Linked DNA regions of Neurospora crassa OR74A. The protein of the gene in region 3 interacts with the protein of the main gene of each other region in a pairwise test. Links are inferred from orthologs where the notes say so. Each region holds a gene or a part of one and is shown on either strand. Other genes may lie near its edges. The genes, in order: csb, eat-2 and NCU06347.

The links.
Region 1: the proteins of NCU06347 (region 3) and csb interact in a two-hybrid assay, tested with the Saccharomyces cerevisiae proteins (2 studies listed by BioGRID). The link is inferred for Neurospora crassa OR74A from reciprocal best matches to the Saccharomyces cerevisiae genes END3 and RAD26.
Region 2: the proteins of NCU06347 (region 3) and eat-2 interact in a protein complementation assay, tested with the Saccharomyces cerevisiae proteins (2 studies listed by BioGRID, with this or other methods). The link is inferred for Neurospora crassa OR74A from reciprocal best matches to the Saccharomyces cerevisiae genes END3 and SLA2.

What each region holds. Positions count from the first base shown.
Region 1 is NC_026503.1:1,029,836-1,034,861, forward strand, and holds the start of csb (DNA repair protein Rhp26/Rad26), read left to right. Parts: upstream 1-1,623; 5' UTR 1,624-2,100; coding exon 2,101-3,379; intron 3,380-3,437; coding exon 3,438-5,026. Other genes in the region: pan-3 (pantotheic acid-3 protein), read right to left, coding at 1-1,178. UniProt on the Saccharomyces cerevisiae protein: May be involved in the preferential repair of active genes.
Region 2 is NC_026501.1:1,867,747-1,870,594, reverse strand, and holds the end of eat-2 (cytoskeleton assembly control protein Sla2), read left to right. Parts: coding exon 1-1,303; intron 1,304-1,405; coding exon 1,406-1,498; 3' UTR 1,499-2,043; downstream 2,044-2,848. UniProt on the Saccharomyces cerevisiae protein: Required for cellular morphogenesis and polarization of the cortical cytoskeleton. It might act in concert with proteins such as CDC42 and CDC43 to limit the region of cortical patch formation to the cortex of the bud.
Region 3 is NC_026504.1:2,822,986-2,827,802, forward strand, and holds NCU06347 (actin cytoskeleton-regulatory complex protein end-3), read left to right. Parts: upstream 1-1,778; 5' UTR 1,779-2,189; coding exon 2,190-2,426; intron 2,427-2,540; coding exon 2,541-2,775; intron 2,776-2,848; coding exon 2,849-3,567; 3' UTR 3,568-3,780; downstream 3,781-4,817. Other genes in the region: NCU06348 (myo-inositol-1-monophosphatase), read left to right, coding at 1-10, 119-918; NCU06346 (hypothetical protein), read left to right, coding at 4,731-4,815. UniProt on the Saccharomyces cerevisiae protein: Component of the PAN1 actin cytoskeleton-regulatory complex required for the internalization of endosomes during actin-coupled endocytosis. The complex links the site of endocytosis to the cell membrane-associated actin cytoskeleton.

The DNA.
Region 1 (5,026 bases), on a different chromosome or scaffold from region 3:
TGTTTCCCAGCCATAACATCCTGACACATGGAGCTCCTGTTGTTTTTCACCTTTTCTCCAACTCGTTGCAGCATTGCGTTAAGCCGCACAGCCGAGAAACGCTCTACGAGAGCTTCCTTGCTCAAGTCGGCATCCGGGGCCGAGTCAGCACCAGAGAGAATATCTTTGCTACTCGGGTGTTGAGCCAAAGCCTGGAGTATTTGACTAGCCTCATCTACCAAAATGTCCATGAGCTTCTTCAGCTCAGGTGCTGGCTGGTCAAAAAGATGACCGTTCATGCAACGGATGACAGCTGTCAAGGGGTTGATAAGTGAGTTGATGATGAGCTTTTCCAGTTGAAGAACCCAGAGTGCATTCCGTGGCACTTTACGAGCCTCCAGCTCGGGCGCCCTCCCAATTTGTTCCATAAGGTAGTCTGCTGCGTGTGCCGTGTTTGGGTTGGGCAACACCAAGCCCATGGCGATATCAGCGGGAGCGGCATGAACACTCTTGAAGGTACCCAGAGAAAACACGCCGTGGGTCGTCACACAGACCAGCCAGTTCGGGTGTTGTCTAGGCGGGAAGCGATGCTCACTATATATGGCGCCGAAAGGCGGCCACAACTTGTTCATGCCATTCTGAACAAACCCGACAGTTGAGTTCCCATCGAGATAGCGCCGCAGTCTGTCTACCTGAGGCAGAGCGTCTGGAGCCTTGGTGGCGACCAAAAGGTTAGCGATCTTGTGCCCGTCACAGACCTCCCTCACAGGCCCATGTGCTGGTGCTTCCTCTGTCCACCACTCTACGTCGAAAGATAATATTTTTTCGGTAACGCCGTGTCGTGTCAGCTCAATACCCGGCTCGGAAACCCAGTGCTCTAACAAACTTTTCCGGTGAAGGACGAGTGTCACCGGGACTTCTTCACCCAGTTTTCCCAGGGAGTTGGCATAGAGCCTACCGAGATTACCAATGCCAAGAATAAAGATGCGCCTTTGAAGGTCCTTTGGCGTTGCCGACTGGAATTGTCCATTGTTTCGGCTATTTGGTAGGTTTTGGGGAGTCCAGGCATAGAGCTTGGGCGCAGCTGAAATACTTTGAGTGATGTTGTGAAGCCATGGTGGTAGTGTCACACCGTTTTTAGGGACTGATTGTGCGAGTAGGCGTGTTGTCGTCGACATGTTTGTGACGAATCGAGCCATACCAGCTAAAAGCACCTGATTAGAGCCAGGAAGATGGGTCTTTTAGGGATTCTCGTGGTGGTAGAGAAGAAATGGAACCAAAGTTGTGAGCCGAAGGAAGAGATGATGAAAAGGATTCAGCTAAACTCATGTGATAGCATAAGGGAACCGGAAAAGAGAAATCGAAGCGGAGGAGATGCTCGCGATAAATGACAAAGTATATGCTACGCCTTTGTAACCTACATACCGTGAGCCTGAGTGGAAACAGAGCAAGCACTACGAGCCCCTGAGTCCGCGATATGTGTTGTTGACTTGGTCGAACATCGATGCAATGCGCGCAGTCGCGATATCGGGATGCTTAGTAATCACTTTGCCCAGGTCACATGACGACGTGTCGGTACAAGTACGTCGCCAAAAGCAGAGGATCTCCAACGCTTCCGCGAACCCTGAACTTGCAGTGCGTCATCGGGGGCCAGGGTTGAATATTGTTGCGCCTGCCACTTGCGCAAGTAATGCCTATCACCCGCAGTGAGCAAAAGCGGGCGCAAAAAGCAGAAAACAGGCAACAGCACTGCAGCTTCGATCCGTAAACTGCGGCTTCTGACTTTTCATCGCAACAATCCATCATTCCGTTTGCCTCCAGTTCGGAAGACTCCGCTACAATCCGTCGCTTCTCTAATGCCACTCGTTGAATTCCGCCTGAAGTTGTACTACTTCCACCAGAAAGAGCTCATCTACCCTATTCATCCCGTCCATTGCAGTATTTGACCACACTGTCCATCGTCCCTCGCTTCTTTGTCACTTGGGACCAGCCAGGATTTCCAGCCAACGCTGAGATCTTAGACTAGACAGTCGACGATCACAAGTGCTATCTATACCTGTTTGCCATTCCTTCCTCCATTTTGCTTGCTTTAGTCAATGGCATTGCATTCTTTCTTCCATCATGGACCCTGATACAACTCAATTATCGAAGACAACCGAGGCCTTGCCCGAGTTGACGCCCAATGTCGAACACACAGAAGCAATGACACTCGACAACAAAAACTCGGCCGCTGATACACAAAGTGCGCCAAATGCTGACGAGCTCGACGAAGAGGCTGCGCTCAAGAAACTTACTGAAAATGTTCGAGACCAAGACGATTTGGAACGTGATATCACCCTGCAAGCCAGCCGTGCCTTGATCGAAGCCGAAGACAAACGAGATCAGAAACGCATCGAAAAGGCTGAGGCCACTCGTACGAGACTCGAGAACCAGAAGAAAACACAGCAACAGAAACTGCGGCCTGGTATCACCAATCCAACCGCACGATTACGCATACAACAGGAGATAGCGCGAATTGATGCCGAAATCGAACTTTGCGACAAAGACATTGCCGATTTCCGTGCCCGCATCGAACAGCGCAACCAGCAGGGCGAGACGGGTACACTGGCCCCGGCCACCGGCAAAATACTCCCTAACGAGACCCAACGAGAATATCTCATCCGAACGGGCAAGATCACGCCGTTTGCTAAATTTGGTGGACCCAGACCTGCCGAGGTTGAGGGTGATCTCGCCAACGCCATTGTCGATGCAGAAGACGAGGCTGTCGCTGAAGAGTTGGAAGAAAAGGAAAACGACGGCCCTCGATCCCATCAGAATCTTCGTCTCCCTGGCTTTGCCGACGAAAATGAGGTCGCTACCGTAGCTGTCGCAGACGATTTTTCTCTACGTCCCCGAAAGAGGCGTAGGGTCCAGCCGCCGCCCGAATCCGACGATGAGTTTGTGCTGGGAGAGTCTGGATCTGAAGCGGCTTCTCCTGAGGCCGACGCATCCGACGATTACGATGATTATGAAATGGCGGGCACTACACTCAAGAAGCGGAAGAAAGCAGTCAGAGAAGCCGATGGTGATGACAAGGTCGATCTGACTGGGATCGATGATGGCAACGAAAAAGTCTATCAAGCAAGACTGAAAGGCTGGGTAACGCGTAGGAGCAATGCACGACGGGCTCGTCAGCAGAGGCTCGGCCAGCCAATTGATAAGGATGATGATGGAACAGAGGAATGGTTCAAGCCAGCGCCTGACCAGCCTGACCACCAGTTCGAAAACGGGCTGAAATTGCCAGGTGACATTTACCCAGCTCTCTTCGACTATCAGAAGACCAGCGTACAGTGGCTAGCTGAGCTGTACGCGCAGCAAGTTGGAGGTATAGTTGGAGATGAGATGGGTTTAGGAAAGACTGGTATGTTCTCTCCGATGTCCCCCCTGGGAATCCACGGAACGTTGCTGACGGGATGTAGTGCAACTGATTTCTTTCGTGGCTGCGTTACACTACAGTCAAAAGCTCGACAAACCCGTCATTGTTGTAGCCCCGGCAACAGTTTTGCGTCAATGGGTAAACGAGTTTCACCGCTGGTGGCCACCACTTCGAGTATCCATCCTTCACTCGTCTGGCAGTGGCATGCTCAATGTCCGCAACGAAGGAGCGCTTGATGACAGAGAGGATGACTACGGCAAGAGAAAGCCTAAAAAGTCCAGCCAGGCTGCAAAGAAGATCGTCGATCGCGTTGTTAAGCATGGCCATGTGCTGGTGACAACTTATGCCGGTTTGCAAACGTACGGCGATATATTGATCCCGGTCGACTGGGGCTATGCTGTTCTGGACGAAGGACATAAAATCCGAAATCCAAACACAGCAATCACCATTTACTGCAAGGAACTTCGGACGCCCAACCGTGTGATTCTTTCCGGCACGCCAATGCAGAACAACTTGACAGAGCTATGGTCTCTCTTTGATTTCATCTACCCCATGCGACTCGGCACCTTGGTTGCCTTTCGAAATCAGTTCGAGATCCCGATCAAACTTGGCGGTTATGCCAACGCAACCAACCTTCAGATCATGACTGCTCAGAAATGTGCAGAGACGTTGAAAGAGACCATCAGCCCCTACCTACTTCAGCGGCTCAAAGTAGACGTGGCTGCCGATTTACCCAAGAAAAGCGAACAGGTCCTATTTTGTAAGCTGTCCAAGCCCCAGCGCGAGGCGTACGAGCTATTCCTCAAGTCGGATGACATGACTGCTATTCTCAACAGGACGCGCCAGTCCCTCTACGGTATTGATATCTTGCGTAAAATATGTAATCATCCCGATTTGCTTGATCCGCGGCTCAAAGATGATCCCTCTTACAAGTGGGGCAGTACCAGCAAGTCGGGGAAAATGGCAGTGGTGAAGTCATTACTTCCCATGTGGAAACGTCTAGGCCATAAAACGCTGCTGTTCTGCCAGGGTACTCAAATGCTGGACATCATCGAGGCATTTGTGAGGCGCCAGGATGGCATCAACTACCTACGTATGGATGGCAAGACGCCCGTCAAAGATCGGCAGACGCTTGTCGACCAGTTCAACAATGACCCGGACTTACATCTCTTCCTTTTAACCACCAAAGTGGGCGGACTTGGCACCAACCTGACGGGAGCTAACCGGGTCATCATCTTTGACCCAGACTGGAACCCATCAACCGATGTCCAGGCCAGAGAACGTGCATGGCGGTTGGGACAAAAGAAGGAAGTCACTATCTACCGGCTTATGACAGCTGGAACCATCGAAGAAAAAATCTACCACCGCCAGATCTTCAAGCAGTTCCTGTCAAACAAGGTGTTGAAGGACCCGAAGCAGCAGACCTCATTCAACTTAAATGACCTTCATGACCTGTTCAGTCTAAGCTCGTATGAAGACGGGAAGACCGAGACAGCAGAGCTATTTAAGGGCAGTGAAGTCAAACGCCTGCCTTCAGGACCCACGGAGATAGTCTTGCCTGGTAACGACACGCCGGTTCTCCGGGCCCCTGGAGCCAGCAAACCAGTGGAAGTCAAGGACGAATCCACAAGT
Region 2 (2,848 bases), on a different chromosome or scaffold from region 3:
TGAAGCGCTACTTCGCGAGAAGGAGGAGGAGCTCGAGGTATACAAAGCTGGCATGGACCAGACACTGATCGAGCTCAATGAGCTCAGGAACAACCAGGGTGTCTCCGATTCAGCCCTTGACGGCCAGCTGGACGCTTTGATCCTCTCCCAGCTGGAGAAGGTCAACGAGATTATCGACTCTGTGCTTCAAGCTAGCGTTCAGCGTGTTGATGATGCCATGTATGAGCTCGATTCTGACATGCAAGCCGGAAACCAGAACGCCTCGCCTTCCTATGTCCTCTCGCAGATTGAGAAGGCGTCTGCGAGTGCCACGGAGTTCGCTACCGCTTTCAACGTCTTCATCGCCGATGGTCCCAGCAGCAGTCCGGCGGAGCTGATCAAGAACGCCAACGTTTTCGCCGGCGCCATCGCTGATGTGTGCAGTAACACCAAGGGTCTCGTTCGCCTCGCTACTGACGAGAAGAAGGGAGACTCTTTGATCAACGGTGCTCGTTCATCTGCCCATTCGACAGTCAAGTTCTTCCGTGGTCTGTTGAGCTTCCGCCTTGAGGGCATGGATCCACTTCAGAAGACCGACGTTGTCATCAACAGCAATAACGATGTCCAGATCAACCTGCAAAAGCTGAACAAGCTTGTCGAGACCTTCGCTCCTGGCTTTGGCCAGCTCGCTAACAAGGGTGACCTTGGCGACATCGTCGATCAAGAACTCAGCAGGGCAGCCGATGCCATTGCTGCTGCCGTTGCCCGTTTGCAGAAGCTCAAGAACAAACCTCGCGATGGATATACTACCTACGAACTCAAGGTCCACGACTCAATCCTCGATGCCGCCATGGCCATTACCACCGCTATCGCGCAGCTCATCAAGGCTGCCACCGCTACACAGCAGGAGATTGTGCAAGCTGGTCGTGGCTCGTCTTCGCGCACCGCCTTTTACAAGAAGAACAACAGATGGACCGAGGGTCTTATTTCCGCCGCCAAGGCTGTTGCCAACTCTACCAGCACTCTCATCGAGACTGCTGACGGTGTTCTTTCCAACCGCAACAGCCCTGAGCAGCTCATCGTTGCATCTAATAATGTTGCGGCCTCCACCGCCCAGCTCGTGGCTGCCAGCCGTGTGAAGGCCGGCTTCATGAGCAAGAACCAGGAGAGCCTGGAGGAGGCCAGCAAGGCTGTCGGTGCCGCCTGCCGTGCGCTCGTCAGACAAGTCCAGAGCATGATCAAGGACCGCAGTGCCGAGGATGAGCAAGTGGACTACAGCAAGCTTGGGTCGCACGAGTTCAAGGTGCGCGAGATGGAGCAACAGGTACGTGATTCCTTCGAGATTTCCTTCCTCTTTCATTTCCGGTACCCTTGGTCTTGCCTATTATGGTTCATTGCTGACCAATTCATTCTCTCCCCATCACAGGTCGAAATCCTTCAACTCGAAAACGCATTGAATGCTGCTCGCCACAGACTTGGCGAGATGCGCAAGATTTCGTACCAACAGGATGAGGACTGATTGTCCCGCAACACATGGGGTTGTTGAGGTAGTATACTCGGTGGCTTCATTCATCTCGCTGGCTTTACGCTTCAATGCGCAGCGTGGGCACATGCATCCGACCAGATCCCCTCCCTCATTCTGTTTTCGTCCCGCAGCGTCTTCCAAAATCTTCATCAGATGTTTTATATTTCAACTACCCCCTCTGTACCTAGCTCGAATTCCTTTGGGAGTCATCAGGTGTTAGTGTTAAACTCAGTTTCATCCACCTTGTTCTTTTTCATCCACTGAAGTCGTCAATTGGCCGTCGTAACTTCGGCCTCGGATATGTTCCGTTCGCTCTTCGCGCGGGTGTTTGGTAACACAGGCAAACCGCCACTCCCGCTGTCATACTGCTGGCATCCGTCGTGTTTCTTTTATGGCGATGTACATCCTTTTTTTGTGGTTTCGATTTTCGCGTTCGCTGCTCGCTGCTCGCTCGATCGGTCGGTCTGCCAGAAAGTTTACCAGATACGTCAAGAGTGAGTAGGCGACCAAATTTCGTGCTTTGTGCTGCTGAATATCACCCCTTTTCCGCCTCCTCTTCCCCTTCCCCTGTCACGTCAGTCCTTCAGCCCTCGGCTGTCCAATTTCCCTACGTCTGCTTATACGGCCCATTTCACTCCCTCTCTTCGCTTTTTTGTCGCAGCCCGTTCGTTGTCTCGTCATCGGTGGCTGCTTTCGTTCGTGCAGCAAGATTCAGAACGAGAAAATCTCTGGTGGAGGGAGTTCAAGTTCCGTTTCCTTCCTATCGCCTGGTCCATTATGCTGTTTTCTCTTTTTCTTTTCGTTCCCCACGTCAGCTTGAAAGTCTGGTCTCTGTCTCCCTCTTGACTTGCATTTCCTAGTTCTTCCCATTCTGGCAGGCCAAGCTAAAGTCGAACCATCACACTCTCCTGCTTCCCTCTCCGGTCGGTTGGCGTTCACGTTGTTATGCTATTAAAGTGCTCCTGCGGAGTCGTCGTTGTCGTACCAACCAATAGCTTGGATGACGGGTAATTGGATGTACCAGTGCCAAGTATTGGATCCGCTGGTGTTTGCTGCGGGCAGATGGTTGTGATGTCCATGAGCTGTACAATAAGAAGAGATGTATGGGAGAGCAGGGCAGCGTGGGGCTGCGTTGGGCAAGCAATTGCATTCTTCCATGGCGTTTATAGGTTGGGACCTGCAGCAAAATATTCAAGGGTATACTTTTTGGGGGGGGAGCCTCTTCAGGTCGTTTACGGGTCTTGGTCGAGATATAGTATAGCCTACAGCGTCCTTGGGTTTGGGATTCTTACGTAGACTTCAATACCTACATTGGTCAATATGCGAATGAAAGCGAATCAAGCC
Region 3 (4,817 bases):
AAGATGAACTGTGTGTGCCTTTCCTTGTCCTCCGACTTCTTCCCCAGCAGTCACCTACTCATCCTCGGCAAGCAACCTCAACTACCTTGACTAACAACCCTTTTCCCTTGCTCAACAGCCGCCGACATTGTCACCGAAACCGACCAAGCCGTAGAGCGTATGGTCTCCACCACTCTCCGCTCCAAATACCCCTCCTTCTCATTCGTCGGCGAAGAGACCTACGTCGCCGGGGAAACCAAAGTCACCTCCGCCCCGACCTTCATCGTCGACCCCATTGACGGCACCACCAACTTCGTCCACGGCTACCCGCACGGCTTCTGCATCTCGCTCGGCTTCGCCCTCGACCGCCGCCCCGCGGTGGGCGTTGTCTACAACCCCGCTCTCGATACGCTTTGGACGGCCACCAAGGGACAGGGCGCCTACTGTCAGCGCAACGCCTCTCTCGAACCAGGAAAGGGACAGGGGCCAAAGCAAAAGTTGCCGCTGAATGGGGGCCAGCCGCTAGGAGACCTTTCCACGGCCCTGGTGGCGGTCGAGTGGGGTAGTCAGCGCGAGGGAAAGAACTTTGATATCAAGACCAGGGTGTTTAGACAGTTGACGGCTGCCAAGGAGAATGGCGGGTGTATGGTGCACAGCTTGCGCAGCTTGGGCAGCGCGGCCTTGAACATCTGCGCAGTGGCGGCTGGTCAGGTCGATATGTACTGGGAGGGCGGGTGTTATGCGTGGGATGTGACGGCGGGGTGGTGTATTCTCGAGGAGGCGGGTGGAATTATGGTTAGTGCAAACCCGGGGGATTGGAACCCGGAGTTGGATTCAAGGTTGTATTTGGCCGTCAGGGGAGCGGAGAGCGGACAGAAGGAGATTGTGGAGGAGTTTTGGGGGGTTGTTGGGGATGACAGGATGGAATATAAGCACTAATGGTTGGTGAACATGACGCGGTTTTGGGTACGGGCTTAGGTTATCAGGCATTGGGTCAAGTAATAAGCAGGCATATTGGATTTGGAAAGATGTCGACTAGATGAGTTAAGGCTATCGTTAGAAGGGTTGGATTGGGGTGCGATATCCGGGAAAGGGTCGTTCGCCCGTCAGCAATGTGAGTGACAGCTGCATCACGGTCCTATGGCCGATCAAGAAGAAAACTGAAGGTGATTTCGTTCCTTGATGTGTGAAGATGTGGCAAGGTACGTTGCAGAAAGGTTGATAAAGAAGGAAAAAAAAGAATTCGCATTTGATCCGACCCAGGCTCGATCTGGGGACCTTCAGTGTGTTAGACTGACGTGATAACCAACTACACCATCGGACCGTTGATGTGAATAAAGGTTTTCTGCGACTTTATGACTCATAAAGTTAGACATGTTTGATGCCATGGCCTGGAGTATTGCTATTCCTTTCAATGCTGGAAGGAATCGGCACCAACTGGTAGCTGAGCTGGTTGCTGTGGTTTACCTAGTGAGCATGTGCGCTTTATCTGTAACCTCTATAACCTGGACCACGCTGGTCGCTCACTGGGAAGAAACACAAACAGTTTGAATCCTCGAGTGCGTGGTTTCGAGTTTATAGCATGGACGTGAAGACGACGAACATCACATCATGCAGTTGACACAAGTTCAACGAGATGCCATTGTTTGGATGAAAAAGGGGCTCAGGGGCAGAGAGAAAGTGGAGACCCATGTACCTCGAAGCTACGGCAAGGCACAACAGCCATGTGCGCACATCGGGCCATCCCCCCGGTCCCGGTCATACTGCGAGGCATCATCCACCGACAACAAGAGACGGAGCTTGGACGTTGCAGCTGCCCTGGGATCCGCCTGACAACTTCCCACTGTAATCACACCGCGCTACGGGGCTGTACACTGGCAACAACCGACCCAACCTGACTTCCTCGAGATAACCTCAAACCCAATCGAACTTCATTTCCATTATCTAACATTGACCCGAGTATCAATCTCCACTTATTTCCGTGACCGTCTCGCTTAATCGAATCGTCAATTGCTCTCATCATTTCCAAGTCGGTCAATCAATCAGCGCTCCCGTCGACGACCGCATTACCACCGGACAGGAACCGGAAGCCGTTGCCCCCGGACTTAGGTTGCCGCTGCGATTCACGGCCCTTCAGCTTGAGAGGTAGCTGCTAGCCAAATTTCCAACCCACTTACACGCATATAATTACTACGAAGCCAACCGCGACAATGCCGCCAAAAATCGAAGCGCAGGAAATCGAGACGTACTGGAACATCTTCTCGGCGCGAACAAATGGCGGCAAGTTCCTGACGGGCGAGCAGGCGGCGCCGGTGCTGAAGAACAGTGGCCTGCGCGATGACCAGCTGGAGCGTGTTTGGGATCTGGCCGATGTGGACAATGACGGAAACCTTGATTTCGAGGAATTTTGTGTTGCGATGAGGGTCATCTTTGACCTTTTGAACGGGGTTCGTCTACCTCCTTCTGTCCTGAAGCTGCGAGCGAGCGAGCGAGCAAGCAAGCAAGCATGGGAGCAGTAATAGCAGCAGTATCAGAGAACTAACAGGGGGAGACGGTAACAGGAATACGCTGATGTCCCGACAACTCTCCCAGACTGGCTTGTCCCCGAATCTAAAGCCCACCTTGTGCAAGCGAACCGCGCGCTAACCGGCAAGGCGCCGAAATTCGAGCAAGTCGAAGATGAAGACGATACCCCCGGCTTGAAGGATGGGTTTGACTGGTACATGAGCCCGGCGGATAAGTCCAAGTACGAGCAAATCTATCAAGAGAACCGAGATATGCGCGGCGAGGTTTCCTGTATGTTTACATCCCTTCCTTTCCCTTCCCTTCCGGTCCCTAACCTCATACTAATCTACCTACCTACCCGCAGTCGCCGCCCTCCAAGACCTCTACGACTCCCTCTCCGTTCCCGACACCGACATCCGCTCGGCCTGGAACCTGGTCAACCCGTCGGCCTCCTCGACCATCAACAAAGATGCCTGCCTCGCCTTCCTGCACATCCTCAACTACCGCCACGAAGGTTTCCGCATCCCGCGCACCGTTCCCGCTTCTCTGCGGGCCTCGTTCGAGCGCAACAAGATCACATACAACGTCAACGACCCGTCGCAGTCGCGCTGGGCCCAAAAGGCCGACGATGAGACCTCTACCGGCCGCAAGGCCAAGTTCGGCGATCAGTACCTGACGCGCCTAGGCCGTTCCTCGTTCAAGACGGCCGGCACCGACTTCTCGTCCGAGCAGACGGACGATCAGTGGGAGGAAGTCAGGCTGAAGAAGCAGCTGGCGGAGCTGGACGAGAAGATGGCCAAGGTTGAGGAGGCGGCGAACCGTCGTAGGGGCGGGAAAAGGGATACAAAGCCGGCACTGGTCAAGAGGGAGCTGGAACAGCTGTTGGATTATAAGCGCAAGGAATTGAGGGACTTGGAGGAGGGTAAGGGGAAGGCGGCGGCTGGTGGGAGCCTGAAGAGCGTGGCGGATGATTTGGCGACGGTTAAGGAGCAGGTGGAAGGGCTGGAGGCGCATTTGAGGAGCAGGCAGGACGTGTTGGAGCAGTTGAAGAGGGAGATTGAGGAGGAGAAGGTTGGGAGGTAAGCTGTTGAGGGTCGGTACAGGGAGATGGGTTGAAGAGGTAGAGAGAGCGGGCTGTGATATTTTGCTGGGTTCCTCGAGGCGAAGACCATGGGCAGTTTGCCAGGACAGGAATGATTTGGGTTCATCGGTTACGTTTCATCTTTCTAAGACAGCATAATCTCTTAATGGCATTCAGTGGAGTAACAACAAGCTGCCTGATGGCGCATATCTTGACTGTGTAATTTTCCCAGGTGCTATGGTATATTACAATGAAAGGTATCATGTTGACTGTGCTTTTCAGGGGAATTTAAGCATCACAATCCACGCGCCTTTGCACTCAGCGCTTGTCTAAGCAACAACATGGTGGCTCTGCTTGTTGCCGCTAGAGGCTGTCGGGAAATGTGAAAGGAGTAGAATAGTTTGACCGTATAGATATCTTTTCGATTTCATCAGCGTGAAGAGGCATCGGAAATCCTAGTTTATGCCATTTCCAGTCTTATTCCACTGGTACCTTGATATACATGTCCTGCCAAATATGCAGGCACAAGCAATATGTTGCTTCGGAGTTGCTGTGGTTGGAACATCTCAAAAGGTACGAATGAATTGCATCTTCACATGGGCCCATCTGGATCATGTAATTACTGGTTTGAGCAGCTGAGTCCACGATAAATAAGCGTAAAGTGAGGCTGTCAGGTTGAAAATGAGTTGAAGAGGGTGTTGTGGATGCTATCGTAGGATCGATGAGTACACTAGTGGGGCAATGACGCTCATGGTCACATGGAAAAGCTTCCAGGGGAAAAAGACCCCTCTCCACCATTCGCTGTTGGACATTCCACAGCGAGTGTTTACCTAACTCCGCACTTTGGAGCCTGGAAGGTACCTACCCCGCCAATCCGGTTCCAGAGTTGCAATTCATCCCATCCTTGGATCCTCAACAAGTCGTGCTGTAGTCTAGGTACAAGGTGAAGGTACTTCGCATACTTAAAAGAACTGCCCTGCCTCAACCCTCAACCTTTTGAATTCTCGTCTCCTTTGCCTCCACATTTCCATCTTCTTCAAGTTCCATATATACCCATCGTACGTACGCGACGCGCAACTTGTATCTGTAACCACGTTCGAGTCTTTAGCTAACCCACAGATACCTCTACCACAGTAAACCAACTCACCCACCCCCAACAATCAAAATGTCTGCCGCTTTCGAGAAGGCCGTTGCCGATTCCAAGAAGCTTACTTCCAAGCCTTCCAACGAGGACCTTCTCGAGATCTATGGT